4 linked regions of the Drosophila melanogaster genome follow. The gene in region 2 interacts genetically with the main gene of each other region. Each region holds a gene or a part of one and is shown on either strand. Other genes may lie near its edges. The genes, in order: mbt, ssh, Vap33 and sick.

What was found.
Region 1: of ssh (region 2) and mbt, changing one suppresses a phenotype caused by changing the other (phenotypic suppression), as found in Drosophila melanogaster (one study listed by BioGRID).
Region 3: of ssh (region 2) and Vap33, changing one suppresses a phenotype caused by changing the other (phenotypic suppression), as found in Drosophila melanogaster (one study listed by BioGRID).
Region 4: of ssh (region 2) and sick, changing one suppresses a phenotype caused by changing the other (phenotypic suppression), as found in Drosophila melanogaster (one study listed by BioGRID).

Annotation. Positions count from the first base shown.
Region 1 is NC_004354.4:16,608,437-16,616,305, reverse strand, and holds mbt (mushroom bodies tiny), read right to left. Parts: upstream 5,622-7,869; 5' UTR 5,115-5,621; coding exon 3,944-5,114; intron 3,873-3,943; coding exon 3,601-3,872; intron 3,530-3,600; exon of another isoform or gene 3,032-3,529; intron 2,769-3,031; coding exon 2,292-2,768; 3' UTR 1,450-2,291; downstream 1-1,449. Other genes in the region: CG9782 (uncharacterized protein), read left to right, coding at 1-476, 648-796; Nup153 (nucleoporin 153kD), read right to left, coding at 7,208-7,301. UniProt on the Drosophila melanogaster protein: Involved in neurogenesis of the adult central nervous system, and together with Cdc42, regulates photoreceptor cell morphogenesis. Phosphorylates exogenous substrates when activated by Cdc42.
Region 2 is NT_033777.3:24,938,029-24,945,753, forward strand, and holds ssh (slingshot), read right to left. Parts: upstream 5,868-7,725; 5' UTR 5,622-5,867; coding exon 5,562-5,621; intron 5,494-5,561; coding exon 5,248-5,493; intron 5,183-5,247; coding exon 4,791-5,182; intron 4,499-4,790; coding exon 4,433-4,498; intron 4,370-4,432; coding exon 4,175-4,369; intron 4,109-4,174; coding exon 3,839-4,108; intron 3,754-3,838; coding exon 1,401-3,753; 3' UTR 975-1,400; downstream 1-974. Other genes in the region: Nmnat (nicotinamide mononucleotide adenylyltransferase), read left to right, coding at 7,230-7,425, 7,498-7,725. UniProt on the Drosophila melanogaster protein: Protein phosphatase which regulates actin filament dynamics. Dephosphorylates and activates the actin binding/depolymerizing factor tsr/cofilin, which subsequently binds to actin filaments and stimulates their disassembly. Required for axon growth.
Region 3 is NC_004354.4:3,946,442-3,955,784, reverse strand, and holds Vap33 (VAMP-associated protein 33kDa), read right to left. Parts: upstream 6,811-9,343; 5' UTR 6,413-6,810; intron 6,305-6,412; 5' UTR 6,136-6,304; coding exon 6,072-6,135; intron 4,371-6,071; coding exon 4,218-4,370; intron 4,150-4,217; coding exon 4,040-4,149; intron 3,957-4,039; coding exon 3,744-3,956; intron 3,678-3,743; coding exon 3,564-3,677; intron 3,019-3,563; coding exon 2,863-3,018; 3' UTR 343-2,862; downstream 1-342. Other genes in the region: Gem4c (gemin 4c), read right to left, coding at 7,682-8,136, 8,196-9,343.
Region 4 is NT_033779.5:19,823,911-19,830,216, forward strand, and holds the start of sick (sickie), read left to right. Parts: upstream 1-2,563; 5' UTR 2,564-3,363; coding exon 3,364-4,968; intron 4,969-6,306.

The sequences.
Region 1 (7,869 bases), on a different chromosome or scaffold from region 2:
GGTCTCCGCTCAGGAGGAGGGTGGTCCCGCCGTTTCGCCGGCGAAGAGAATCGCCGCCCTGCGCCGTCCGGTCGGGAAGGCGGCCAAGGTGACAACCACGACGACAGCGGCGCCAGCACAAGCGGATGCCGGCGGCGAGGGCGAGGAGTATGACGAGGAAACCGGCGAGCACGGCGATCATGGCGAGGAGGGCGACGAGGCGTCCTTTGCCAGCTCTACCACCACCACCACCACGGAGGCGCCCAAAAAGGTCGGCCCGGTTATCCGGCCGTTCCGCTCCAACGATGACTTCCTCAACTCGCTGAAGCGCCGTCAGGCGAACGCGAAGAAGCACCGTGCCGAGAAGCCGCCCAGTCCCAGCAAGCCGGCCAAGAAGAGCGACGAGTCCAACTCCGGCGAGCAGGAGGAGCAGGCATCCGCGCCAGCACCCGCCCCAGCATCCAGTCCCGCCAAGGGCTACAAGGGCAACTCAGCATGTAAGTTAGTCAGGGATTAGGCCAGGATTTTGCTCTAAATGGACTAGCAGTGCCTTCTGAATTTACTAATTTTGAAATAATTGACATTAAACTAGAATAGAAATCTTTAAAATCATCTCTCTATATCAAGTTATTAAATCCATTACTAACTAACGCTTTAACTATCCCCAGTGAGCCGTCGCAAGCTGTCGAAGCCCGCCAAGGCGACGCCCGTGGAGGCGGTGGAGGATGCCGCCGCTGAGGAATCGGAGCAGCAGCAGAAGGAGGAGACGAAGCCCAAGCGCCCCATCGGTCGTCTGGCCCTGCGGAAGCGCAACTGAGCGTTGATTTGAGTGTCAATCAGATCCAACTCCTATTCTACACACATTCCCAGTGACCAGCAAACAACAAACCCTCCCCCCCCTCTCCAACACCACATTTCCCCTCTCTCTCCCCCCCCCCCTCTACCCATCGAATCATATGGCTAGCTATGTGGCAGCCCGATCTGCCCTTTAGTTTTTAGTTCGCAATTGATTTTTCGTGTATGTAATATATTTGTAATCTTATGTTGTAAACAAAAACACACGCGCACACACAACACTCACTCAACTCACACACACCCACCCACCAACGCCACAACGACCACGCCCACTTATCCAGAGCCAGTACCCCATCCTTCATGTACGCGATAAATACGCATATATATTTTGCGAATATATGTGCGAGTATTTAAGCGGGCACAATTATGTATTCTTCACAACCATCAAACAATCAATCAATCAATCAAACAATCAATCAACCAGTAATAAAAACAACAAAATCGAAACATGCATTTTTCAATTAGTTTGTAATAAAAAAAACAGAAATATCTTTAAAATGAAACTCCAAAATGTCGAATAAAATATTAAAATATTCAATATTTCTATTCAGAAATTTTTTTTTGGATTTCTAGTTATTTTTGGTAGTTTTTAACTATGAATGAAACCACAAAATTGAACATTTTCGCATTTAAGTTTATTCATTAATTAATAATTACACGGGTTAAATCAAAAAAACAGAACAAAGAATGTAAGCTAAAAGTTCTAAAATATTTTCGAAATCGGGAATGTGTTTAGATATATGCATATGTGTATGTCTGGAGCGTACAAACTTTTCACACCAATGTAAAATGTAAAATGTTTAAAAAATATTTATGTCGAAATTGTATATGCTCTTCCGCCTAACGCTATCTCTTTCTCTTTCGTTTTCTGTCTCCCTTCGATTCACACCTTCGTTGTTTCGCTTTTGCTTAGAATTAGGATTTGTTTTTATAAAAAATATATGTGTATATATATATATATATAGATTTTTAACATTAGCTCTTAGCGTATATATGTATATATTCGAACAATGTTTTATGGGCTGGTTAAAAAAAATCAAACACACACGCACACAAATCAATATTGACAAGAGACAGAGAGCAAAATGCTGAAATACTCATATATGTATATATATATATATATATAAAAATGTGGTTCTCGGGCAGATAAATGCTATATCGTTTCTCCATCCGTATCGGTTGCAGGATGCGATTTCAATTTCGATTTCGAGGCTTGTGAAAGGCACATTGCGTTCTCTTCTGGAACGTTAGTGGGCATGGATATGGATATGGATGTGCGGAGCTTAAATGACTTTACAACGTTTCGAGGATTCTCCGGGGATTTAAGTACAGCTGCCAAACTGAATGTTAATACTAGAATTTAATAGATGGATGCCCACGGGCCGGGATCCGTTGTCTGTGGGAATGATTGCTTTCATCGAGCAGCCGGATCGTCTGGGTTGTCCAGTGGCATCCAACTACGGATGGTGTCGCGCATTGCGCATCAGCGGAACCAGCAGCGACGGCGGTCCTGCCTGGCGCAGGAAGGGATGGGCCAGCAGCTCGGCGGCGGTGGCACGCTGCGCCGGATCCCGCACCAGCATCCGGTCGAGGAAGGACTGCAGGCGCGGCGAGACCTTGTGCGCGTTCTTCAGGTTCGGCGGCTGCATGTCACGGATGCGACGCATCGCCTGCAGCGGCGGTTCGTTGAAGAACGGCGGCTCGCCGTCCACCATCTCGATGACCATGATGCCCAGCGACCAGATATCCACTTCCGGGCCGTACGGCAGGCGCGATATGACCTCCGGCGACATCCAATACGGCGTGCCAACCAGACTCTTGCGCTTCGGCAGCTCCTGTGACACCTGGGCGCAGAATCCAAAGTCCGATAGCTTCACGCGACCATCGGCGGCCAGCAGAATCGAGTCCGACTTGATGTCGCGATGAATGACGCCCTGTTTATGGTTTATCGCCATCGGCAGCACCGTCGAAAGAGACAGAGAGAGAAGGGAAATTGGTTAAAAGCGTTCACAGTTTGCGGTTTTCCCCCAACCAACGCCCTTTCTCCCGCAGACAGACACTTATCGCATTACACGAGCCAACGTGGGACAGAAATGCACAAAAGAAACCAGATCGACCCTGCAACGCCCAAAAAGAATTTCCTGCTCTTGGGAACACGCTGGTTTCCCTAACGTGGAAGATAGCATAAACAGGTTGGGTTCTAGTTCTAATTTCATTTAAATAGACTACATCTAAAACATTAGGAATGCTTAGTATTGTGAAATGTTGGGGCTTAAACAAGTTCCAATTGACTGACTGACTTAATATTATTATTATATGCTATTCTAATATTGATAGTTTTAATATCTCAAGTTGTATCTCAGGCAAAATCATAGCAAATTGGCTTATCTATCAATGAGTAATGAACTATAACTTTAAACTTCCTTCATCATAAGATGCAATTAACTATCCATTCGAAAATCGCTCTATGCACACTTTTCGCTTTGAGGTAGGGCATGCACGTGCGATTTCACCTGGCACTTTGGGCGTGCTACGCCACTCGATGGCCCACTGTGCGGCCGACGACTTTTGTTGGTGACAACATTTAGAAATTGAAACCAAAGCCACGCGAAAGCGGAGGGCGAAGAAAGCGCCGCAAATGGCAAGGTACAAAGGCACAAAGAATCGCATGATGGCGAGTACTCCGTTCTCTGCTGCCCAGTTTGGCCAAGGGAATGGTAATGGGAACGGGGACAGGAAAGGGGCAGTGTCATGCTGGTCACGCACCTGTGAGTGCAAATAGGCCAAAGCCTTCAAGCATTGCTTGCAGACGGTGGCTATCTGCTCCTCGTCCATGCGCGAATGGGTGACAATATCGGTGAGGGCGCCGCCCTCGAGGTACTCCATCACCACCCAAAGCTCATCGTTGACCAGAAAGCTGGAGTATGTCTCCACGATATTGGGATGATGGTAGTCCCGCATGATGACGACCTCGTTGAATAGCAGCTCCCGTCGCTGCTGTTTGCGCAGATCCATCTTCTTCACGGCCACCTGGCGACCTGTACGTAATGAGAAAACCAAATGCCATTAATTCAATGGTTTTGACAATAGTTAAAGCGGATGTTCTTGCCTGTGGATTTGTCCGTGGCAATGCATACGGTGCCCGTGGAGCCCTCGCCTATTTTGTTAAAGTGGTCGAGGTTCTCGCGTGGATCACCGGCGGAGACCACCATCTGAAGGGCGGCACGGAACTGTTCGTGGGTGAGTCGTTGGTCCTGCTTTGGCTGACCCGCCGCTCCTCCACTGGCGCCGCTCGCCTGCTGGGCAGCACTGCTCGCTCCCCCGCTGGAACTGGATGCCCTGGACGCCGACTTGGCCAAATGTTGGTGATGGTGCGGATGCGGATGAGCATGCGGATGCAGAGGATTTTGGTTCTGATCGCCACCCTGTTTGGCCTGCTGTTGCTGCTGCTGCTGCTGCTGATGGCTTGTGGGATACATGGGAGGATAGCTGCCGCCGCTGTTGCCATTGTTCGTGTGCGAGTGATTGGATCGCGTGCCACTGGCCACCGAACCCACGGGCGAAGTCTGCTGTTGCTGGGGCATGGAGCCGCCGGATGGCGGGGCCAGATTGCTGCGATACTGCTGCAGGTTGGTTTGATCCGTGCGCACGGCCAGTGGTCCTGTTGCTCCATTCGCGTGCGCATGCTGACTGTTATAGAGCAGGGAGGGATGGGCACCGGGTGGCTTAAAGCCACCGCTACTAGCTCCACCTACTCCCGGTGTTCCAGCTGCCGGTGGTCCCTCCTCCTCCGGCACCGATGGCGGCACATTGGCTACCCGTCGCACTCGCGGCGGACTGGAACTCCGCAGCGAATTGGATCTGGCCACGTGAGAGGTCTTCGGCAGGACTATGCCGCCCGTCTCGGGTGGCATCATCATTCCGGGGCCATGGCTCATCATTGGGTGTGCGCCAGGTGCCATGGGATTCATCGGCGCCATTGAGCCCATCATCATTGTGCTGCTGCTGTTGAGCGAGGTGGTGTCCGCCTTGTTGTTGTTGTGATGCGGACGCACAATAGTCTTCAGATCGAGAATCTCGGTGGGCGTAATCTCCGAGGGATCGACCAGTGGCAGCGGGCGGTTGGAGGACTTGAGTATCTGATTGTTGCCCACAATGGACGCCCATTGGAGGGGCAGGCCAACATATTTGTTCTCCCGCTTGTCGAAGCCCGTGTGCACACGATGCTCAAAATTGCTGGGCATCGAGATCAGCGGTTTCTTTTTCTTCTTCGAGAACATCTTCAGCGACTCGGATTTCCCGTGCTCCAAATTTCTGCCCTTTTACCGCCCTTTTCCACTCCACACCACTCCTTCCCTCTCGCTCTTGCTCTCTATTTTTAATGTGTAATTTTTTTCTTTTTGTTGCGTCGCCCGACAATGGAAAATGCACAAACAACAAACGATGGCAACGGCAAATCCGACAGAAACAACAACAACAACAGCACACAACTTCTTCCCGATCTCACTCACACACACACATGCAGGGACACGGGCACGCACGCACACACACACGCATAGCAGCGGACGCGACTGGGAAACTGGGATTCAATTGGATATGGATGGACAAATCGAGATGCGCACAAGCGATACACCTTCACCACTTGCTCCTCTGGCTGGCACACATTGCACACATTATGGCGACAGCACGAGCGCACAAGCAATTCGCTTAACAAAAAAATAATAAACCTAGGGAAATAATTGCCGATGCCAGAAATAGAGGTGGTGTTTATCGTGAGTATTAGTGCTGGAACGGCTATCGATGTCTATCGCAATGGCGGCAGTGTGACCGTTGCCGTGGCATGGTGAGTTCGCCTGTGGTCAACTGGCTTTTCGAAATTCAAATGTTTGTAAAGTATTCGCGCTGAAAACAATTACCATTCAAAGTAAGATATGTACTTTAAGACACCAAATATTCGTTATAGAATTTCATTGCAATTCCAGTTGAAAACCCAAGTAAAGAGCACAATGTTTAAATTATCATACCGCATATATTTACTTATTTACATTATGATACCGTTTCTCTCTCAACATAGACTTCTGATTTCCATTTCTGTTCTCGACTTAAAAATGATCAATATAAACTTAAAATAAAATATTAAATGTTCTTTATGAATTTATGTATATAAAAAACATGCATACAATTATAACTCTTTCGGTTTTCCAGTTTGCCACCATTCTCTCTAATCTTTTCATCTAATCTGTTATCTTGTTAGCTATAGGGTTGGTTGGTTTCTTTACGTTGCTAGATAGTTGTTTTTCTTTAATTTGTTGGCTTTCCACCTTGGCTGCTGCACAGAACGTCGTTGCAGGTATTTTCCTCGTGTGAATTGTGTGTGTGTGAATCTAAACGCTAAAATTAATAACAAAAACTAAAGACTTAATGCAATCGTTTGCCGATCGCTCTTATCTGACTGCAATCATCATATGCTCGACGTATCGGCCAATAACTCGAATATACGTATTACTACATTATACAGTAGTTGATTTTTTGCGCTATTACATGGCCTCGCATCTCTGTTTGATTGCAGCATTACACGTTTCTTTACTATTTCGCAAAATAATTATTACATAATTATCGTTAAGGTATATTATATATTCAACAAAAATAACGTTAAAATATATTCATTTTCGTTTTTTTTTTGGTGCGATGAATTCTCGCGTAAATCCAACGAAGTGTTTTTATAATTTGTAATCATCAATATGCGTAGTATGAGCGACATTCGCGTGGTCATCTCCCAATCATCGGAGAGCAGAGAAGGATGTGGAACGAACCTATTCCTTAGCTTTTTAAGAGTAAGTCGGAGGCTTCTGTCTCGGTTTCGAGATGACGCTCCTTTGCCGCACTATCTTGAATTGGGTCCTTACTAGTACAGTTCGTTCTGTTGATGTATATACCGCTGAATCTCGTTCCTCCTGTTGGTTGTCCTCCTGGTCGCCAGTTGTTGGTGTTTTAGGGACATCGTCGCCATTGGTTTCATTGCCTTCTCCTGTTGTATTCTGCCAAATATTCCTGCTAAAGGGTTTCCTGGTTTCAGAGTTCAGGCTGTGGCGGCGTACGAAGCGGTATTTGTTCACACATGGCGACTTTGGTGACTGCATGTTTATCCTCGATGATCCTTGAATATCTGGCTCCTGGTGATATTGGCTCTGGACCGAACCTTTGAGCCCACTATTGTTGCCGGCGTCTTCTGTGTCTTGCTTTTCCTTTTCGGCCCTTGATGCTTTTGCTGCTACTGCTGATTCTGTTACTCTCGGCAATGGCTGCCAATATCTTAATCCTAATCCGACGGCGGCCTCATTTGCTATCGTGATGGCCGACTGCGATGCCATTTCTACCGGGGCGGCAAACGGCGTACGGGGGCGCGGATTTTGCGGCGAGCCGTCTGGGAACTCTGCGCCGAGTTGCCCGCAGCTGGCGGATTGAAGCTGCGGATTAACAATGGATTAGTATCATTATCATATTTGGTTGGTCAATTTCGAGACTCCCACTGGCGGTTGCTGCTGCTGCTTACAGCGAGTAATGTGGACAAAAAACATTAATTGAACAAATAATATATGGATACGAAATGCTATGAACAAAACGAAACAATATGGCACACACAAATAAGACAAACACAAACTATAGTAAAATATGAAATTCGCAGGATATAGAAAATGCTACATATATCCTATTTACACAATGGTAAATAAACCATTCCGTGGAGGAAATGGATGCGTTTTTAACTTCGATTTAGTTTTCACTTGTGGCCAGTTTCCATATATGACAATATGATTAAAATGATTGATTTATAATACTATTCATTTTTCATTAGTTGATTTTTTTAAGCACAGCTTAAACCAGTTTTTTATGAACATAAATGGTAAATGAGGGCGAAAACATATAGTAAGTAATGATTGTAAGAATTTTGTCTCTCTAAACTTAAATTACGAATATATTTTTCTTTGAAAATCTTTTTTAATTAGATCACTTGATTTTAAAACATTGTAAATGTAT
Region 2 (7,725 bases):
ATTGCTGGCCAGTGGCTAGCATCGCACGGTGTGCACTTGGCCTCCGGATCACCACCGAGATTCCGATTACGTTACGGTCGCGAGTCCGCCGCGAGTTCACTGCGAATTTCGTGTCGTTTTGCTTCTAATTTTCCTGCAGAAAATAAAGAAACTGTAGTGGAAGTTCAGTGCGCGTCTGTGTGCGTGTGTGTTCTGTGTGTGTGTGCTGGCGCATCTGCAGGTGTGTGAGTGTCAGTGTTACCAGGTGGTTGGTTGCGTTTCCTCCTACACATATCGATGGGCGATAGGCAACGATAATCTGCGATCTGAAAAAATCTTTTTCAAACACTGTGCCGTTAGAAAGCTTAAACAATATTTAGAAATATGATTATTATTTTCAAATCGATAAGGATTTTGTTAAACAATATTTAGAAATATGATTATTATTTTCAAATCGATAAGGATTTTGTTAAAAAAAAAACTTTTTAGAACCCATATATTTTTTCCTTCCATACACACCTTGCTATATCTACATTTAACTTTAAAATCCCCAAACTACATCAAATTACATTTATATTAAATAGTAATTGTTAATTTCTTTGTAATTATACAATATGTGAAAATAATTCATATCTCCGGTCACTATTAAATTATGTGTGTACCCAAAGGTGACTCATGGCCAACAGTAAAACAGATTGCGCTCGAAATTGGATTACACATTTTTATTTATAAATATGTGGTCTGATAAATGGCAAAAAATACAAGTGTTCAAGGTGGGAACTTTTGGGCCGCGGCCTCGGCAGTCGGTGCTCCATGTGCCGGATCACTTCTTGTACTCCGCCCAAGAGTAGCGGAAGGAGCGGATCATGTGGATAAGGCTGCAAATACAAATCTGGTAAAAACGGAGGGCAGTGTTTGTTGGGCAACACATGGGAGTTGTGGTGTGAATGGCACATGGACGGCACAGGGACACTCACAAGACAAGACGATGACGTATATACAATAAATCGTTTATTCGTAGGCAGTTCTTGCATAATATAAAATAAATATGTATACAGTTACAAGTAATTTAAAAGTACAAATACAGTTTCATTTCCATAGGTTGTTTTGTTTGCCCTCTCTTGTCATCTTAATAGTTCCATTCACACATTGCAGACACAAGATCTTTAGAAGCTTTCATGGACGCCTTACACAACAAGACAACAAACACGAGGCATGATGGAGGGGATGGATGGGGTGGTGGTGTTCGATTGTTGGACAAAAAACACAAAATGGTCGAAAGCGGGCGAGTATATAAATAAGTAAAGCAGGCGATAGGATGAGGACGATCCTTAGTGGCTACAGGGTATGGATTGCAAGTTGCAAGTGGTATGTGAATGTTGCAGTTTGCAGTTAGCATGTTGTTAAGCAGAGCATGGCCTTTACATGGTGTTGTAGGCGGCGGTGTTAAAGCCTGTTTTCGGAGCACTTAGCCTGCTCAGCGGATGCGTCTTCCCGTGCTGCGCCAACCGCCGGATCTGCACCTGCTGCTGATGCTGCTCCGGTTGCAGTTGTTGCTGCTGCTGTTGCTGGTGCTGAACGTTGCTGCTGTGACTGACGCGGACGGGCGCGGGTGGCGGTCGACTGTCGCTATAGTCATGCGTGGATCTGTTGGACAGCGAGCGGTCGTAGTAGGAGAGCGGGCGTTGCTTGAAGCTAGTAGTGGTAGTGGTGCTGCAGGAGTGGCTGATGTTGCTGGCGGTTCCGGCGGGTGGCAGTGGGGCACAGGCGACTGTGGGGGTGGCGGCCGCCTGGCTACTGCAGGAAGTAGTGGTTTGATATTTATGCACTAGACCTTTTACATTACGATCACAATTTTCGCTTACGCTGGAATCGGACGAGTTGGAGGCGGAGGAGTTGGAGTTGGAGGCGGCGGACACGTGGTTGGCATGCTGCGCCACCGGCGACGATGGCAGTGATTGGTGGCTAGTCGTCTTCTTGCCGGGATTCGCTGAGCAGGCTCCGGCCACCGCCGATACCGACGTTGCGATTGTTGAACTACTGCCCGATCCCGCTGCAGTGCCACCGCCTCCTCCTCCTCCTGTGCCCACCACTCCCGCTTTGGCTTCGAAATTTTGCTTGAGTATTTGCACATTGCCCGAGATGCGCTGATCGTCGGCCAGCGTTTGTCCCTGGACGCGCAGCACTACCGTCGCCTCATGGTCGCCTGGCGTGGTGTTCTTGTTCTCGATGTCGCTGGTGTGCATCAGCTCCTCACTATTACAGCGTAGTGGCTGACGCTGCCGCGGACTGTGCGCCGAGGAGGCGCTCCTATAGAGGCTTGGGCACCGCCTCTGCCCAGCATCCACAGCCTCGAGTAGCAGCTCCTGGCTTTCTTCCTGGCAGCGCTTTTTCAGCGAGGTGCTCTCTTCCAGCTTCTGCTTGGTGCGCTTTACGGTGCCCTCGCCAACTCCAACTATCGGTTCCACAGCAACGGCGACTCCTTCGATTACATTGCAATTGGAACTGCGCTTGAGGTCTTGGATAACGCCCTCGAAGATGGCCGTAGTGTTGCGATTGGAGTCATAGTAGGAGCCGGAACTGGTCCTCTGCGGCAGACAGCATCGGTTGTCTCCTGATCCCCAACTTGCGTGCCGCGAAGGCAGCTCCCGCTGACGTGTGCCTCGGGGACGCAGAATGGCGTTTGACTGCTGCTTCTGTTGCTGTGGCGTGGGGTCCAGGACGATGCCGCCACTTGGACCCAAGGACTCTGTCCAGGAGTGCGTCTTTCGACGCTGGCGCTTCTCCCCTTCATCCTTGGCAAAAACACTGTCCACCTGCGAGGAGAATACATCCGAACAGCTAGAATCCCGCCGCGAGTCAATATTTCCACTACTGCTGCCACTGACACTTTTTCCCAAGTGAGAGGTCTGTGTAATCAGTTTTGTCAGCGAGGTCCAGACAGGTTGCTGTGGCAGCTGGTCCGCCCGGTGCGCCTCGAGATCGTGAATTCGTGTGCGCACTGACAGAGGCGTGTGTTTCTGGATGTGCAGCACCTGGTTCTGGGTGACGCTGTAGTTCTCGCCGTTGCTGCCTGGGAAGCGCATATTTTTTGGCTCCTCGGCCACGCTACGTTCCGGCGTAAGGTTCTCCATAGACTGGCTTTGCTGCTTGGTAACCACAGCCGTCTGGGTTTTGGGTGATGTGCTGCTCGAGCGCCTAACCATGCGACGCTGTGACTTCTGGGCGATGGATCGCCGGTGCATGCGTGAACCATCCTCCTCTTCGCCATCGGGTGTTACGCCCGCTTCACCAGTCGACTTCGACTTGGCCTGGTTTAGAGCCTGAATGAGGGGCGTTGGTTCGCTACCAGGCAACAGTCGCGCGTCCTTTGTGCTCTTCAAGTTCGTCTCGCTCTTGCTGCGCTGCAGCTTCTCCTTGTTCTTCATGGCGTCCAACATCCCACTATACGTCTCCAGCTGATTGAGGAAGTTCTTGTTGGGCTTTATACAGCTGCGCCTCTTCTTCACGTGCTCTAGCGCCTGCTGGAACTCCCACTGGTAAGCCTTCATGGCATATGCGATGACAACCGAGGCGGATCGGCTGACGCCCATCTTGCAGTGCACCAGCACCTTGGATCCCTCGGCTTTCGCCCGCGTGATGTAGCGGAACGTATCGTCCCAGTACTTGAGCAGGTTCGTCTTCTCATCGTCGTACACGCGAACGTTGAAATACTCGAAGGTGCCCGGAAAGAAGTTATCGATCTCCCGCGTCACGTTCAGGATGTGGCGAACGCTGAAAATGAAAATAAGTTGTCGCTGATTTTAGCCAATTTTCCCAGGATATCAATAGTGTGGCCTTTTTTTTCTCTTAAACATACCCGTTTTTCTGCAGCTCCTCCAAGTTGCTGGCATTCCACTCTGATCCCAGATAGACGTGCTCGAAAATCTTGGTGGGGGCATCCATTTGGCCTAGAATAACGAGCATTTCGGCGTCGATAAACGACTTGTACTCGCCCAAATCCATGTCCAGGATCTCCTCGAGGCGTCCGCGTATATACTTGGAGGTGACCTCGTCCAGGTCCACTGACATCATGATGGCCTTCAGCTTCATCTTAATGACACTTTCGGTTTCCTCCTTTTCGGGGGGTCTGTTTATGGCATTCAAGGGAAAGAGGAATTAAAACCGTAAATAATTAGTTGTACCGAACCCTTACTTGTTTCGTATGGCATCAGGCGAAGGTGGTCGGCGGCTCTCGAGCGCGTCCATGGCATTCCACTCGTTCAGACAAGACTGGTCCGACTCGATGCGCCTCTCGTAGCTGGATAGCCAGTCGTGGGAGGGTCCACTGGCATAGAAGTTGTTCTCACGAGCCTTTTTCGACACTTTGTGCAGCGTCTGCAGCGCGGACCTGGAAAGAAACAAGGGTTTAATTTGTGACTGAAGGGGATCTGACTCCAAAGGAGGCACCTACCACATGGCCTGCACTGAGACCGGCTTAAATATATGCGTTTTTTCGTACACTTTGACGCTGAATCCGCTGAAAGCAAGATAAGATAAACCATTGAAATTAAGGAAATGCACATCACACGTTTATCAGAACAAATACACTCTGCCATGCTATTATTAAAATAGCTTAAGATAAATTGGAAACAAATGTGCGACATAAATGCCACCGCTCAACTAGGAAATTGGTCAAGGCGACACCGATTTGTGTATAGATTAGGGGCGGCTAATTTTTAAATTAATTCTATAAATAATTCCCAAGGTTAATAGCGACAATTAGGCAGTTATGAGTGCATGACTCTTACGAGATGAATGCCCAGTCTTACCCATCGCCATCCAGGTGAATTGTGGTGTCCGCCAGGATGGGCACCACCAGGCCAATGGTGGTCCGCTCGTTGCAGTCTATGCCCAGCAGGCAGGACTCCTCCATGCCCGAGGTATTCTTGTTGTCGCCGGCCGCCGTTGCGTTTTCCTTGTCTGCTGTTTTATCACATTTGCTGCTGGCCTCTGTGGCGGTCTGCTCAACGGACAGCTGACGCTGCGTGGGGACCGCCGGGGAGGTGGACGACTTTGTTCCCGCGGATCCACCAACTTTTACCGAGTGGTGACGCATGATCCGGTGGCGCCGACGGTCGCTGGTGCCGCTCCGACAACAACTACGCGATGCAATCACCAGATAGCGCGTGCGGTTGGACCGCTGTGACTCCAACTTGACAGCCTTTTGATAGGAATAGAAAGATATGTTTAAAAGATAGACAAAGTAATTTTACATTGGATACGCACCATCTTTAGCGTGTCCTCGCGCTGCAACAGGTAAAACATTGATTGCAGGTGGAGCTGGATGTCCGAGTTGTTGCTTTGCGTACTGTTACTGGAGCGGGTGGAGTCGGTGCTCAGGCGACGCTCGCTTTGCGTCAGGGGCGGGATATCCTTAAGAGCCAGTACCAGGGCGGTTCCCTTGCCGGCAAAGAAGCACTCGCTGCGATCGTTTCCTTTGCTATTGCCCTCGTCGTCCTCGGACTCGCCATCCTGATGTTATAGAGAAAGGAAAGTTGTTTACTCGGTGTTTAAGAATACCTTATCCTGCTGCACCTCACCCGTGGGGTTAGGCTAAATATAAGGATGTCGTCTGGCAAAGAACAAACTTGCATGCTCATTATTTTGCAAAGGGGTAAGATAAACTCCTGATTATAGTCTACACTTCAAGGGCGGAAAAGAAGCAAAGCTGTATCTGCAGTTCCAAGAAATCTGATTGTTCAACTGAATACCGTCTGATTTTGAGAAAAGGGTCACAAGTTCGAAAAAGATTCCGGTTTAGTGAAGTATTTTTTTTTTTTTTATATTTTCTGATTTCTTAGAAATAATAAAATGTTAATTTATGTGTTCAAAAATACCGATTTGACATATTGAGCATATCTGAATTAAAACGTTTTGTAAAATTAAATTGATCAACCCCCGATATTAATTTTTCCCTCTGTGCAGGCGGACGTCAAGGTCTCGCGAACTATTTTTGGGCGGTGGGGCGGCGAAGAAAACAAAAACAAGCGGTAAGCGGAAAGCGACAAAAACGACAAATAAGGCAATGCAAAAGTCTGTTGAAAAATATAGACGTCGCGACGTCTGCGGATTTGCTTGGGTTACACCAAAAGCAGCGCAGCGCAGCACAGCCGATGACGATGATGACGCTGCCTCATACCGCCCACACGCGAACGTTGAACGTCGAAATCCAAAAAGCGTAAGCAACAAGCTGGCGGATGATAAACATTGGGCATGAAAAGCACATCCGAGCACACAAAGGATCATGGCCAAAAGCGGAACACGCACTAAAGAGCCTGCCCGTAATTGGCTCTCCTGGCAGAGTGGGGGTGACCAAAACAAAGCACACACGCATACGCACACGCGAAAACCATCAAGTCTCCTCTCACCGAATTCGAGCAGGAGCCCGCCACACTGGGAGAGCGCTGCACCGTCACCAGCGCCATTTGTTGTTGCCGTGGTCGTGGACGTCGTCGTCGTCGCCGCAGCCGCTCCTCCACCTCCTGCTCCTCCTCCCCCGCCGACGCCTCTTGACCCTCGTGTTCCACCTGGCGCAGATGATGGCGATGCTGCAGCGGTGTCCCTTGCAATCCTCTCCTGCTTCGGCTCCTTCTGCTCCACCTCCTTTTCCCTGTGTGTGAGTGTGCGCGAGAGTGTGTGGTGTGTGTGCAAGTGTTGTGGGCTAAGGCTACAAATGCATTTTCATATCGCTGCCTGCTGGCCGTTGTTTTTGCAGTCGGCTCCGCGACCTCGTCCTGCGATCGTCTTGGTTTCCGCTTTCCGGACACTCTAGCCAGGCGGTTCTCTCTAAGAAACAGCGTGTCCTTACAATTAACGGACACACACAACGCTGCTAAATGGTAAATAGACTACACGAATTTTTCTTAAAAGAAAGACAGTGAGGACGCCATTTCTAATCGATAACACTAGTATCGTCAGGCAATCGTTCTGGCAGGGCTGGCTAACTATCGCAAGCGAAAGCAATGTTCGTGTGGTACACCGAAAAAAGTACTTATTAATGAGAAACGCAGTGATGTTTGTATACTTCTTGATATATCAGTAAAACAGGCTTTAATACATTTTTATGTACTCTTGCCTTTTTGATGATTAAAAATCAAAAAATTAAGTTACATTAAGTTATCATTTATCGAATAACAAGTCAAAGGTAGTCAGAGGTGGTAGCCACTGCACAGCTGTTTAGTGTTGGAAAATAACAACAAGCCGAACAGATGATTGTGAAAATCAGCTGGCCCAAGAACAACATAACAAGCGAATGCTTCCGGCGGTTTGGATCTTTTAAAAGACGCTCAAAATCGAAGAAAATGTCAGCATTCATCGAGGAAACAAAAAGCCTGCTGCCGCGGATCGCCTTCATAGCCTGCGGATGCTTCAGTCCACCCACACCCATGCACCTTCGGATGTTCGGTGAGTTAAACTAGATTGTGAAATTCTGCGGTACATAATCGATAAAATTACGCGGCATGTTTTTGTCAACAGAGATAGCCAAGGACCACTTCGAAATGCAGGGAACCCACAGAGTGGTAGGTGGCATCATCTCGCCCACGCACGACTCATATGGCAAAAAGGGTCTGGCCTCCGCCTTGGACAGATGTGCCATGGTCAAGCTGGCCACCCAGAGCTCCAATTGGATTCGGTTGTCCGATTGGGAGGTGCACCAGAATCAGTGGATGCGCACGCAGGCGGTGCTCCAGCACCACCAGAACT
Region 3 (9,343 bases), on a different chromosome or scaffold from region 2:
TCGATCCTGGCCTTCCTTGTGCGGACAATGGCAATAGCATTAGAGTTCTTTATACGATATTATGTACCTTGGCTAGCTAAAAAAAAAAGCTCATCCCCTTGGCCGTTCGAGCCGTATTCCCGATTTGTTCCAAACGCGTACGTTTTATGTTGTAGATATGTAAAAATTGTATAAAACAAAACGAATTGTGAAACGAAGCTGAAGAAAAACCAGAAAACTTAACTAAAGAGAATTTAAGAACTAAACCAAAGCATTTTTTATAAGGGATACAATCTCTGCTGCTTAAATGGGATTTATAGCACAGTTGTATAATAAGACACCATTGCGTTTCCTTTTCGTTTTATTTAAATTTATTTCAAATGATATTTGATGTTTAATTAACAATGTTTCATTTTACTTTTCCTTTGAGAAAAAAACGCTTAGTTTTTAAGATTCATGCTGTAAATATTATAATAATTGTTTTTCTCTTGTGTGTATGTGTGTGTGTGTGCTGATCTCCAGCTTCCAGATCTTCTACAACTTTCGTTGATTTTGCGCCTACTTCGCGAGGAGACAGACTCTTTCGGGTGTGAGTAAAGTGTGTGTGTGTGTCGGTTGACTTCAATCAAATAATGCAATTGAATGTTGTTAAATGTATCGAAACAATTTTTGAATGTTAAGTTCCGTTTTCACATTTTATTATTATTATTATGTTCATATATATTGTGTTTTGTTTTTTTTTTTTTGCTACAGCTGACATCAAGTACAATTTGCTTATGATTTGCTTTTGTCTTTATCATTTGTTTATTTCCACATTTCCTTTTATTTATTTTTAGTTTATTTTTTCTTTTCTTTTCTGTATTTCTAGTTAAACATTTAAATACGAGTTTTCCACATGCCTATGAAATTACAGCGATCATGCATGTCGGCGAATATATATTCATGTATAAATCTATATACCCTTTTCAATGCTTTGCAAACTATATAAAAAAAGTCGTAACCACGAACAATAGCAATGAAATGTGTTGGGGAAACAATTGTGTGAAACAAGATGCATCGCCAGCAAATAGTAGGCGCTACGAAAGGAACCAAGTGGGTGGGTGGGTGTATCTATGGATCCAAATCTATGGATCCACGGGTGCAGTGTAAACCATGAACAACACGCGTTTGTTTTGCTTCTAGTAAAGGTTTTTTCGTTCCTTTTTTTTTTTGTGTTTTCTTTTTTAGAAAATTGATTGATTTTTTTTTTGCACTTATTAGATCGTATATATATCGGCGTGTCGGATACAGTTGATGGATTTTCTCAATTTCGGTGCCATTTGGGCTGGAAATCGTTCAATTCGACCTTGGCAAACAACACAAATTACATAAAGGTTTGCTTACAGAAATTTAGTATATTCATATAATATATATATATCTATATATATATATATATATATAGCGTTCATTGAGTGGTGTGTATGTGTGTAGTAATGTAACCACTGAAGTGACTAAAACGAAACTTAGTAAATGCAAATGCCAACCAAAACAATAATGATTATATATAAATATGTATATATAGAGCCGCCGTCCGCGTTCGATCTCGTTTCGGGATTTAGAGAGGGACAGACGGTTGAGAATGAGAAAGAGTGATGGGACGAGGGGTGAGGTGAAGCAACTTTTCTTTCTTAGAGAGCGTCGGCCTTGCAGAGCATTGTTGTTTTTATTTTTTTATTTTTTGAAGCTTTTCATTGATTGGTTTTCCATACAAGTGTTTCTTCTTAATTTTTGTTGCATTTTGCTAAATGTTTTTTTCTTGACATTTGCGTTTCTGTTTTCGATTTAAATTTTACATCTAGGTCTATGTGGCTGCAAAAAATTAATTAACAAAAAGAAAGCAAATAATAAAAAAAATTGATAAAACTGAAGTTTATTCTCGCACTCAAGTAACAAATTGGTTTTTCTTTTAGTTTCGTCGAGAAGGTATGATTAATGATAATTTTTGTTATTCTTTGAAATACTTGACTTTTCCCGTTTGCAAATGCATCGAAAAATTATTAAAACGAATTGTGAGGCATTTTAAACTTAAGTTCTTACAAATTAATAATAGCGAAAAAATGCAATCGAAAATCTGAGCAAATATACGTATGGATCTTAGCGGATTTTAAAGAGTTCTTGAGAGATGTTCCCCCTTGCGAAAATACGATTTTACGTCTCTTCTATTTTTCCCTTTCTCTGCGGTTTTTTTTTTGTTTTTTTTTTTTTTTTTTGTTTTGTTTAGCCCAGGTACCAAAAGTAATCATTCGTTATGTTTTCTTTTTTTTAAGTATTGATTATGATGTGAGGGATTTCATAGGGCCCAAATGTTCTTATTACTCAAAGTCCGGTTGCGACTAATTCAAGCGAGATCTTGCAAAAACTTAAATATTTTTGGTTGAAATACACGAAGCGTCAATACAGCTTAAAATTGTTTCGAATGCTTTACACTTAAGTCTCGTTAAGATTCGTATTAAAAACAAGAACTGCCAATCTGTCTTTGAGCAATATGTTGGAACCAAACAATATTTCTCACATCATAATCCATACTATTCTGAGCGATACTTGTTTCGCTAACAAACAATGATTATTTTTGATTTTCAATACAACCGTTTAAATGTATACGGTCCCCGGTTTAGTCAGCTTTACATTCGTCTCTGTGGTTTGTTTCTTCTGCCAATTAAATTTATTTTAATGCTCCTGCTGCTGCTGTTCTTCTTTCGTTGTTGTTGCTATTGTTAGTTGCTGCTGCTGCTGCTGCTTTTGCTTTTGTTGTTGCTGTTGCTGTATGATGGTGTTGCCGCTGTTCTTGCTGTTACTGTTGCTGCACGTTGCATGTAGCATGTTGCTGGCGTTCGTTTATGGCATTCAGAGAAAGAATTTGCCCAGCAGGAGGCTAACGATGGCCGCAGCAATGGCAACTGCAATGTAAAAGACCGGAATCTGCTTCTCAGCCAGGACTGGGGCATAGGGCTCATTCACCTGTTTGACGGCCGGCGAGCTCCGGAAACGTGTGATTTGATCCTGCAAATGGTTGAGAAATTTATTAATTTACACAAATGGATAGATTGATCCTTATCTGGCTACTTACAAAATATTTATCCTATGTATTCTTTTTTGAACTCGAAAACAAATCAGCACCCCAACTGAACCGAGTTATTGTATAATAACAATAATTATATATCAAGCGCGCAGAAAACTCCCAGGCACAACAGATCATTATTTGCATTATTCTTGGAATTACCAAATTGGATTTACTTATATTTAAAGGCTGATTATTTTTAGTACACCACAGCAACCTAATGCAAGAAATTGTCACTAATAGTGTCATTAATTTTCATATCAATTTTGAGATCATCGCGTACAGCCTATAATTTGAAAAAAGTCAGAGGCCTGCTTCTCCTTATGGCTGAATCGACTCATTCTAACCGATTGCGAACAAAACTGAATATTCAATATTGAAGACATCTTGATAATACTGCTGAGGAACTCCCTTAGGTAGCAGTAACTTCGACATTGCACTACTCAAAACACAGAAAAAATGAAGAGTCATAATGGAATTGGCTTACCTTCAAGTGAAGATTCTCTCTTCGCAATTCAATGTTGCATTCACGCAGCGCTTTGATCTCTCCGGACAGCAAGTCCAGACTCTCAGACGTTTCGAGCAAATTGGATGGCTTAAACTGGGTAATATGTTAGCGTTATTTATTATGCCATTAGAAAGGTTTTGCCTGTTCGACTTAACATACCTTATCCTCGCTGGAGAGCTTCGGCTTGCTCTCGAGCGCCTCAGCGCTGGCTGAGCTAGTATTGGCACCCGCGCTTCCGCCTCCGGCAGCTCCGGTTCCGCCGCCAACGGCACCACCACCGCTGGTGTTCTCAGCATTTGCCTCAGCGGTGGGCATCTCGAAAACGCACTTCAGTTTGGCGTCCATCAGCTGCTCGGGCTCCAGATCCTTCCACTGCGGGTGTAGAATAGGACGTTGATTAGAAAAGTAATATACACACTATGCCATCATTAAGAGTCCTATTCGTTTCCCCTTACCAATTTATTTAAATCGCTTAGATCAGCATCCATGGGTGCCAGGACGCTCTGCACCATGAACTTGTGCTTGTTCTTCTCCTGCTGATCGTAGACGAATGGCTGAAGGCAGACTATGTACATGCCGAGGATAAGTAACGATATTATTAGAGTAACGATATACCATTTGAGAAATACTCACTCTCCACCTGGGTTGATCGAAAGGGAATTATCTTGCCGATGTTTGGACGTACGCAGTAGCGTTTCGGGGCGGTTGTCTTGATCTTGAAGACCAGAGGCAGAGCCGAGTTGTTGCGCAGAGTCATGATTGTGACAACGGGTCGGGTGAAGGGACCTGTAAGGCGAGAATATATCAAAATGAGTGTTAGCTTAAGGAACACATCTTATTAATTTCATGGCACATATAACGCATATGTACATACATATTTCCCTATTGTTAATATTTTCTGATTTCCGATTTTCTCCTCATGATATGATCTTTAAATAAAACAGGCATTATCGCCCTTTCATATTGAATGCACCCGATTAGTCACACTATTTTGGCGATAGCCCCACCCAACCCAAAAGCGCCCAACACTCGCACTTTCCACATTTCTCTACTTTCCCGATTTTCCCCACTCTTCCTGATTTTTGTGTAGCGTCACGCTCGTTGCGTCATTGGTCGAGGCAAGTTCAAATTAATTGAATTAATATCAAAACAAAATCGAGAACGGGCACAAAAACCGAATAGTAAACTGAATATCGAGGAATACCCTGCATATTGAAGTTGGATTCACTACCAAAATGTGTAACTTATTTTGAAACTATTATGAAATTACAAAAATTACTTCAAATTATTTCAGATTTAATGTGATTAGTAAACGCTAGTATTACTCCGAATATTACTTTTAAGCCGACTAGAAATCGATCGCGGGGTCTTACATTCTAAAATAGTTTTTTTGGTCACATTTTTAACAGGCATTGGTGAGAAAATCAAAACAAACCAGGAAATGGGCAAAAACTAACGAAAGGAATTTTTTTTGTTTGTTAGCATGGCGTGTGCGTGTTTTTCTTTGGTGTAAGTGTGTGTCAAGGAAATTTCATTAGACAAAGTCGCGTCATGCATGTGTTTTTCACCCCTCGCCGACCGCACTATTCACGATCTAACGGGAAACGTGGGCGAGGGGGTTGCAAAAGAATGGGGCTAAGGCTCACTCACACATACACAGATATTAAAATATTTGCGCACAATGGAAGCGATAGCAAAATACTTGAAAAGTTAACTCAATTTTTTTCAATAAGACAAAATACAAATGGTGAATGGTTATTGGTGTATTATTCTAGATCGCAATCAACAATGATTGGTCATTTAAGTAGACATTTCGTTCTGCAATTGAGACTGTGATAAAATTTCGCGAAAAAAATTAAATGTTTATGCACTGGAAAATGCAGCTTGGCAACAGGAGTTCAATAACAATGCGATGACAACCGTGCCACTTGTCGCACCCACTGTGCGAGCTCTTTGCATTGTTTTTGTCACTGCTGCTGTTGCTTTTTGGCCAAAATTCAAGGAGCCAAAAGACAAGAAAAAATTAAAATGGCCCATGACAAGTTTTTGCGTATAAAAATATAATGCTAGCCAAAAACGCGAAACGAGTGAGCAAGAGGGAGAGGGATGGCGAGTGCAAGTGAGAAAGAGAGCGACGCCAGCTGCCGGCATCAAAAAATAAAATACATTAAAGAGCTGAAGCAAAAAAAAAAAAAAGAAAAAAAACGGAAAGAAGCAGAGCGATGATACACGTAGACCCCGAAAAGAACAACAATAAAAGGTGTCGTATGTAAAGGAAGAACAAAAACAACGGAAATTATTGATAGCCAATCGAGCGAGATGGCAATAGAAAGCGTAGAGGGAGGGAGATTAAATGTGCGCGTGAGAGAGAGAAAAAGTGAAACTTGCAGTTTGCTCTTTGCAAGAAATGGGAGGTGAATCGGCTTTTTTGGTCGATATGCAGCGACCTTTCCGCAAAAACGCGAAAATAATGTAAAATAAACTTACCCACAAAACGCAACTCATGTTCTGGTTCAATGGTCAACGGAAGATCAAAGAGTGATTTGCTCATTGTGGCGGCTGGCTTTTGTTGTTGTTGTTGCTGCTGCTCCTGGTGTTGTTCTTGTCGTTGTTGCTGCCGAGAATTTCACTCTCTCCGCTTTTCGCCTCTTATCGTTTTAATTTTATTTTTTGTGCGTCCTGTTTTTGCCCAGCTATTTGTTGTTCTTGCTGGCTGTTTGCTGTTAAGAAAATGCACACAAAATTATATTAAAATGCAGACGCACGCATAGATACGAGACACAGGCACACAACTAAATTAAAAGAGGGATTTCAAATTTTTCGCTTACGTTTGCGTTTTTTAGCCAAATATATCAAGAAAACTGCTGCTGTTTTTATGCCTGTTTCGTTTTACTTTACTCGTCTCTCTTTTTTTCTTTCGTTTTTCGTTCGTTTCGCTCTCACAGGCGAAATATCGGTAAATTTATGCGACCACACACACACGCATGGACAAAAAAAAAGCAAGAGCCAGAGAAACTCACGCACGCACGGGCTTTTTGCAGAAAATTTCGGGAAAAAAACACAACGATCAACGTGCGACTTCTTCACCGACTTTAGGTCGCTTTTCTGTCGATATTTTCGATTTCAGTGGTTTACCACGCTTCGGTTTCTTCGCAAACTTCAGTTGAAAACGCAAAATGTAAAAAAGCCATATATTCTGTCAGCTAGTGATGTGAAAAAAATATCGATGCATCGGGTATCGATATTTTTAGTTTAGCGACTTTTCGATACTTGTCAAGCATTGGTCGTTAAATTACCTTGTAAAATATATATAGTGTTTTTTAAGACAAGATATTTTTTCTATTTTTTTTTATTTAGGTAATTTGAAAATGTTATTAATAACAATTTGCACCAAAATTTTCCTTTCCCTGAATAATGCCATTCAGCTTTTGACAGAATATAAATTAGTTAAATTTATAACATAACGAGTACATGAAATTTAAAAATGTATTAAAATAAATTTTCCTAGTTTTAAGTTACAATTTTGCAACAGGAAGCAAAGCAGTCGAAGTAATACATAAAAATACGAATAAAAATAAGAACATGCAAAATTACAATAATTTTAAGCTTGCCAAAGCATTTATTTAATAGAACACAAATTTGTATTTGATGGTAGTATTACATATTTTATGTAAATATAGTCGGCCTTAAGGACACACAAAGTTGTAAAATAACCTGATATCAAATTATTCTGATGTTCAATCATAGCGTTTTGTATATTATATATATAATACATAATAATACGAAAAAAAAGAACATGCAAAATTTTATTAATTTTCAGCTGAATAACTTCACTTGCTTGCCAAAGTATTTTTAGTAAGACAAAAAATTTGCATGGTAGTGGTACATTTGTTATGTGCATACAGTCGTCCTTTTAAAGGACATACAAAGTTGTAAAATAATCTGATATCAAATTATTCTGATGTTCAATCCTAGCGTTATGAATATTATATATGTTTTTAGTCATATAGAGATCTGACTGCCTAAGAATTAAAGTGTTGGACAAGCGGCGGAGTTTCGATTTGGCTTAAGAAAATTACACTTCTAACAGCATCTCCTTAACACTTGGCCGCCTGCTGTTCCTGGATATTTATGCCGAATCGCACAGCGAAGGCTTTACTAGCTAGCTTCATAATCTCGTTGCGAATGGAGAATGGAGCCTTGGCCACAACGGCCATCAAATGATCCCAATGCTGGCGCTTCGTGATGGTCTTATTGTGTTTGGCGTGGCTCCGGAAGGCGATCAAATATTCTCGAAATAGGAATCTAAAGGCCATGAAAGCGGACTCGCTGTTCACCTTGACCACTGCATCGCTAAGATCGCCCATAACAGCACAATCGGCCCTTTTTTTAAGGAGCTTTTTGAAGAGATCGTTAGCCTCCTGTGCACTGGACTGAGTTAGCAATTTGAGAAAGGAGCGTGTGTCCTTTAAGGTGTCTTCTTTAAGGTAGATGAGCCAAAAGCCCTTGTGCTTTAAACTGTTCACTTGGTTCAAGATCCTCTGGCGGCATTCTGTGAAAGAGCAATAATTAGTAGGCTTTCGTCTTGGACTTACATTTATAAGAGCGCACCAGTGCCTAGGAATGTCAGATGAGACAGACCGTCCTGCCAATACCACACCGCCAGTTCTAAATTATCCACCCGGAAATCTTCAAAGGTGGCCAAGTCCCAGCGTAGGGCATCAATGGTTTTCATGACATGCGAGATCAGCTTCCAGTGTTTCAAACGCCACTCTGGCAAGCTGGCATTCAGATATGTGTAGTGCTTGGCCACCTTGACAGCTGGTGCATCGTCTCCGTTCTCCAATTTCGGGTGCTCCTTTTCGAGTGCATTTAACTCTGCAGTGCCTCGGGTGATTAGATTGCTTTCACCCAGACTAATCTGCTTGAGCAGTTTCAAGATTAACTGCAAGCTGGGCAAGTTCATGGGCTCTATAAACTTGGCCAAACCGTAGGCACACGCGTCTAGGAACCTATTTTGCGCCTGCCTAAGCTCATCCTCTCCGTAGGGACACCGTCCGTCTTTCAAACTAACGCACAGTTGTCGCGCTGACGTGTAGAGACCGTTGAGGATCTGTCGGTGGCCATATAGGTAGAGTGTAAACTGCAAGGCATACGGCTTTTGAAGTAGTTGCTCGTTCACCAAGATGTTATCGGCACAGGCGGAAATATGAAAAGCAGCATGCTTGGGACAAGACTGAGCTATGTGCCAGAATAGCTTCGAGAAGCGAGTATGCGTCACGCCCAAGTGGGAGAAATCAATCCAGGTCTGTCTTGCGTTCTCAAAGCACAGTACTAGAAATTTGGTTATCGGGAAGCGCTTATTATAATCCAATTGATTAAAGAAGCGTATGCGACGCTCCCGATGATCGGGAGCCTTGAAATTAAATCCTTGGGTAACGTTTTGCTCATCGCGCAATAGCAGTACTTCCATCTTGTCCTCGACATTTAATTGCATAAATAAGGGACGCAGTACTAGGCTTAGCAGCTCTTCGTAATCATCGTTGGACGAGGTCTCGTCCTCGTCATCCCCCTGATTTACTTCCGTAACGGATATGCCCTCGTCCTCGACCACCATTTCGGACTCCACCACCTGACCCAGGAAACTGAGTATTATCTGGGCATGTTTCTTGGTGAGCATAATTAAATGATTTGCCATCGTTTCCACGCACTCATCGTTACCAAAGGCTATGAAGCGGCTAAAGAGATTGTCCAGCCCG
Region 4 (6,306 bases), on a different chromosome or scaffold from region 2:
TCCGACTCTTTCCATCCACTTCCACTTCTTCGGATTGCAAATACGGGTATTTATACCTCCGCTCCTGCTTTCCGCTTCCAGTTGCTCCCCGAAGTGTGCAACAATCTTTTATATGAGTTTATTATGTATGCTTTTGCTTGAAACACACAATTTCCTCAAGCGATTTCCGTTTTGCCCCACCCGATGGGTCTTATTAAATTGCCCCACACCCTTCGCGCTCTTCATTATCCACCAACTGGCTCGTTAAGTAACGAAAATATGATGACTGCCTGCAAATTGCGCTTTAATTGAATTGCACATAGATTCTGATTTAGTTTTATACATATTTTTTTGTGCCCTCAAGCTGGAGCGGAAGTTGTGCGTTGTTTTTGTGGTCCTTTGCCACGCCTACCACGCCCCAACTTGCGGCGCAACTCAAAAGTCCTTAGAAGTGTTTCAAACTGTCATACGCATTGTAGTTGGCTCTTTTTATTCCCTTTTTACTTTTTTCGGTACGGCCTTTGCACTTTATTTATGCCCTGTAATTTAAAATTTCCATATGGAGTTTGGCCAAGAATTTACTGAATTATATGAATTTATACCTACCCTTTAAAATTCTCTCAATGTTTGTTAGAATTTTCGCCAAATATATTTGTTTTGATGCAATTTTCAAATGAAATCTAGTGGATAGAGTATCTAGAAGTCACACAAAAGGCGTACTTATGAGTTTTTTCTGGCAAACCTCAGCATACTTATACTTCTCTTCTTTGTTTGAATAACGTTTTGGGTTCTGGTTGGGCTTTTTGGTGCAATAAGAGCAACTGAAGGATGGAAAGAAAAGCGTGCACTTTTCAAAAGTGGGCTTTTGTGTGGAAAGCGAGTCGAGGGGCTGGGATTCTGGTCAACTCACTAGCAAATCAAAAGCATTTCTAACCAACTTGCCAGCGAAGTTTGCACAGCGTGTTGGGCGCAGAAAGCGGCGCTAAAAGAACTCAGATTGAGTGCAAATAAAATGATGTCATGAAGTGGGTGGGCGGGCTAAAAGGCACGGAATGCATGCTCCACTTTATTTCAGCTATCAACTCGTAAAGTTTGCGGCTTGATGGCCTCCGGCAAAACGTCGGGTTTTCCCAGTGGGTGGAAATCTGTTCTTTTTTTCAGAGCTGCAGAGCTGAAAGAGACCACGGCAAAACTGCAATTACAAGTTGGAAGAGGAGGACTCAACTCAATGCGCAAATCTTGACAAGTATTTTGTCAACTTTGACTGCTGCCAGCTGGAAGCAAAGGCAGATGAAGTGCGAGCAACTTCAACCTCAAAGCAAAAGTGTTTAACTTTAAGTCCTGCCTTCTGCCTTTCTCTTCGGGGTCCTTTCATTTTTTTCCTTTTTGCCCCCATTTCGTCCCCATTTCACGGAATCGTCATGGAAACTGAAAGTGTCAGGGATTAGGTGATGCTGGAGTAGAGAGCCACTATCCACGTGGCTTTCAGGGGGATTTTAAGCCCAGGGGAATGGACGCAGACAAGGATTGTGTGGCCTTATAGGAGTTAAACATTTAATACGTGTACTGCCCAGTTATAAAAGTATAGATTCAACTGATTAGAGCACATTTGTAGAATAGATTTTAACATTTCTGCTTCTTTAACTACAATCGTAATGGTGATGTAAAGAAAAACTGTGTTGTTCCTAGAAGATGGATTACCAATTGCATTTAATCTGGGAAGTAAGTCAAACTGGAATTTTATATTATTTGCATTTATCACCATTTCATTAGCATACTTTGCTAATCTGGATAAATCAACCTTGGGCTTGAGTGCTGCCCAACAGCCCTCCCCTTTTCAGCTGCCTACTTTGACACTAATTAACTTGATTCAGTATTCGAGACTACTGCCATTGCCTACTGCCATCTGCAATTCAATTAAAAATTAACATTTTAATTGCAAATTACTTTCAGTATACTTTATGGGACGCAGGCACAGACACCGGCAGAGAAACTCCACTTAACTGGAGTAACTTCTTTCGCCTCTGCCACCTGCAGCCTGCCATTTCCGGAAACGGAAGTAGCAGGATGAAGAGGAAGAAGAAGAGGAGCCATTGGAACATCGGCTCATTGCGAGGCGTTTAATTCTATCATGCGCCAACAATTATGCAACTTGTTGGTTCACTGACTCAAATGGCCAGGCGGTTTTCAATTTGTTGCCAATAAAACTTTTTCCATTTCGGTTTCCTCTCAGTTGTTGCCACGTTGGCCTGGCGAAAAATGTTCGTCATAGTTTTGTTTTGTGAGTGGGCTGAAATAAAGGAAATTAAAAGTTCATTGCTGGTTTTCCGAGTGGAAACAATGCTGGGATAATCTCGATTTGGCGAACATGCTGTTCTTTGGCATTGTTCATTATTTGTTATATCTATTTGGATTACTCACATTTACTCTACGAATCTCAGCAAGTGTAATGGAAAAGATACCTGTACGTGAGTGATGAACCATTCCTTTGTTCACTTCGCTTTCCACTTAATAAATTCATGGATCCATTTGCTGTCAATTTGTTATTGATATCTCCGTTATGTCTGCATTTTTGCGACCGGGGGGAAACTGAAGGAGAAATGAAACTTAATCAAATGTGAAACTCTAGCGAGCACTTGATATGCATTTTCGTATTGAATTTCCCTTCCAGCTTCTATCGCACAATCGCTTTTATTCGAAAATTGCACGAACAAAATAATACCTGTGCTGTTTGCCGGAAGCTGAAGAAAAATGTATGTGAATGCTTTTCGGTTTTTTCAATTTAAAGCATTTAAGTTGCAAATATATATGTATCCACCTCTGCGGCTTCAATGCACAAATTCAAGTTAAAACCGCATGTGCAGTACTTTAATTGTATTATTGTTCACCATTTATCGCAATCCCTGCAGCGTTGGCTTCCTGTTAATTGCTTTGTAGACAAATTATAAAAAGCTCGACTTTGGCATTGTTTCGGCGGCATTCTGGAACACTTCAAAAGCAGACGAAACCACGGCGTAACCATGACCATGACTATGACTCTTTGCCCGCAAAAACAACCTAGAAACGTATAACTCTTTTTTTTCCCCCGACCAGCTGGGTCAGTTTTAATTTAACTTTGACATGCATCAGCTAAAAAATCCAATTACAAACACAAATGTAAACAGAGATAGTAGAGAGAGAGAGAGAGAGGACATGGAAAAAGGACCTTATTTTTTTTGGTCGAAAGACTAGAAAACCCATTAACGCGTTTTTGCCCTCCATAAAGATGAAGATTTATAAAGCCATTAATTTGGCCCAAGCGGCGAAAAAATGTATACAAAATTTGTGAGTGAGTGTGTGAGTGAAAAGTGCTGAGCCCATGGAAGCTGCAGTGAAACCCTAGAAATGTCCAGTCAGGCAGGAAAACTGCGTCCGGGTTCCTCAACCAAGCCCGATCGCAATGCGAATGAGGAGAACCAACTGGGCGCCAAGCCCAAGAGCCAAAGAACGGACAATCATCATCAGAATCAACCGAAGATGTTGCCACATCCCAACTACATGGAACTGGAGTTCCTTGCCACGGATCCCACGGCATCGGCGCAGAGTACGGCCTATCCGGACTTACCAGTTAGCTATGCCACCTGTTTGGTGGGTCCACCACCGTACAGGGATCCGCTGCCTCCCACACCACCGCCCCTCTCCCAAATGCCATCGAGGCTGCTCCACTCGGCCCCCAATACGCCCAGTCGTGGCAAGGTGGTGCTCAGCAAGAAGGAGCGCAAGGAGCTCAGCAAGCAGCTGGGAATCGACGAATCCTCGATCCTGAGCAGCAGTGCCCAGTCGAGTCCCTACAAAGGACGTGTGAGTGAGCTGAAGAACTGCATAGCTCGTGGCCTGTTTGCCACCCTTCATAGGGGCTCACAGAAGTCGCTGCAGCAGCAGGAGGAAAGGCCCATCAGTCAGGAGATATCCCCGCCTCCTCCAGCTCCAGAATCAGCCAATAATAATGAAGATGTGGCGGATTACTCCGAAAAGCTAAGGAATCTACCAGTGAGACAGCGCAAGGCTGCCACCTCGCACATGGAGAACTACTGTCTCTTTGATCCCGTGGACTTTATCAACGAGAAAGCCATGAGATATCCCAGTACTCAAGCCCACGGATTGAGGGATCCCCTTTTCAGCTCAAGACAGCACTTGGTCTGCGAGGATGAAGATGAACTGGTGCCAGAAGTAATATACGATAACGAGGAGCTCGAGTTGGAGGAGACTATTATCATAGAGACTTCAGCTATGCCAGAAGCGGAATCAGAAGCAGAACCGACTGCCAAAAATTCAGAGACCATGTCTAGTTTTGATCACCACAACTACTTTATTATAGACCCAGCGAACTTTCCCATGGACATCGGCATACCTAATCCCTATACCAACGAGCAGCTGGTGAATGCCAAGTTGGAGCAACAGAACCTGGAGAAGCTCTTCAACGAACTGGAGAACACTGCCAGCATGTCGAACAGCCAGGAGTCCAAAGATACGGAGACCACATCCACGGCCCTCGTAGAATCATCCACCTCAACGAACTCAGCAAGTTCCGCGGGCAGCTGTTCCCTGGCCAATCCCGCCCAGCAATCGATGAAGAAAAAGCTGACATTTCTGAATCTTTCGCCCTTTCGCAGTGGCAAAAAGTCTATCGACAAAAATACTTCTGAGCAGCAACGTGCCATTTCCGAGCTGGTCAGCACGGATCACATGTTGCACCTGCAACAGTTGTTGCAGCAACAGCGAAAGGATCAGCGTTCGCACACGGTTCCAACGGAGTCCAACTATGTGCTCTTCAACCCGGGCCCAGTGCCTAGTCGACATGTCCAGTACAAGATACGCAAACCACGACCTCTATCAACCCACAGCGATGCGGATAGTGGTTTCCTATCGCCCTGCTCCCCCGAAGAAATGCGTGCGAATCCGGCCATTTTGGTGCTTCAGCAGTGCGACAGTGTTCAGGGATATATGGAGGTAAGTCTGTGAATATTTAATGATATAAATATATAAAATATCACCATGACATACAAAAAGAAGAAGCTTAATAGAAGCATCTGTTAGGTTAATGGAGAAAAAAACCGAAAACCTAAACCACTTCTTATTTTAAACAGAACTTTTGTGCTTCAGCTTACAAAGTAAAATTCAATTTTTATCCAGACATTTTTCGAAGACTTTCAAGAAGAAAGAAAACCTTTTCCCAAAAAATACAAATCATTTATCTTTGTTAGCTTTGATGGCTTGTCCTGACAAAAGGGAACTTTATTATTACCTATGCAAATCTGGGTTTTAATGCTAAGATGCAGCCCGAAAAGTGCCACAATAATGTTCAGCTCGGTGGGGCTCACCAGCAAATGGCTTATTTTGGTGAAGCTCTTATGACCCTCTCAATATTGCAGTGCATGTGGCTAGGTTTCATACATTTCCTACATAATCCTCTTACCGTAATGTGAATCGCCGCATTAACCATTGGAAGGAACCCCACGCAGCATCTTATCTATATGGATAATTTCGCATATCTTAAGCCGGTAATCATTGCGGGCTGTTTCCGTAGTCGCACTTGTCGCCATTTGCCGGCTCACTTATCTTAACGAGCGAGCAACTTAACAAGTCTTATTATGCATCTTCAAACACCCCAGGGGAGGTGTTGGCTTACCCCTCGAAGGACCATTTTCGGAAAAACCCACCCGCAAAGGCGATGAACAAATGTCACCCCCAACGGCCGAGTCCTCGAGTATAAATTATCAAAAAAAGAGAAGAACGAGTCACGGAATTGCAGTTTGGAGGCAGTGCACTGCAGATGATTCCCAAAATCGAGGGCTTTTGAGAGCAGTTCCTGCTGGATTGCATCTGGCTTTCCCATTTTCCCCCGCCCTTCGCTCTTCGCTCTTGTTTTCCTCGTTGCCTCGGGGGAGCAATCAATCGTCGCGTTTTCACTGCTCGCTTCATTAGTTTTCCCTACCGCCAAACATTAGTTTGATTGTGTGCCCAAGTGAGGGACAGGTTGCAAGAGAAGAGAAAAGCAAAACCCAGAAGGAAACAACAAAAACACACACCAGCTGCGAATGTATGTTCAATCTTAGCGACTTTTAATGGAATTGAATTAAAATTGTTGCCATGGTGCCGAGTTGAAAGTGTGTGTACTTACACCCCTACTGGCCCACATAAGCTATTCGCCCTTCCCAATTTTCCGTGCCACAGGCATTTCCCATCATTTGCAAATTGAAATACGCGCTGTACATTTTTGCTTTGAGGCATGCTCCCCCCCAAAAAAAAAAAAACAAGGAATTACAGCAGCCAAAGAATCTCTTGGGG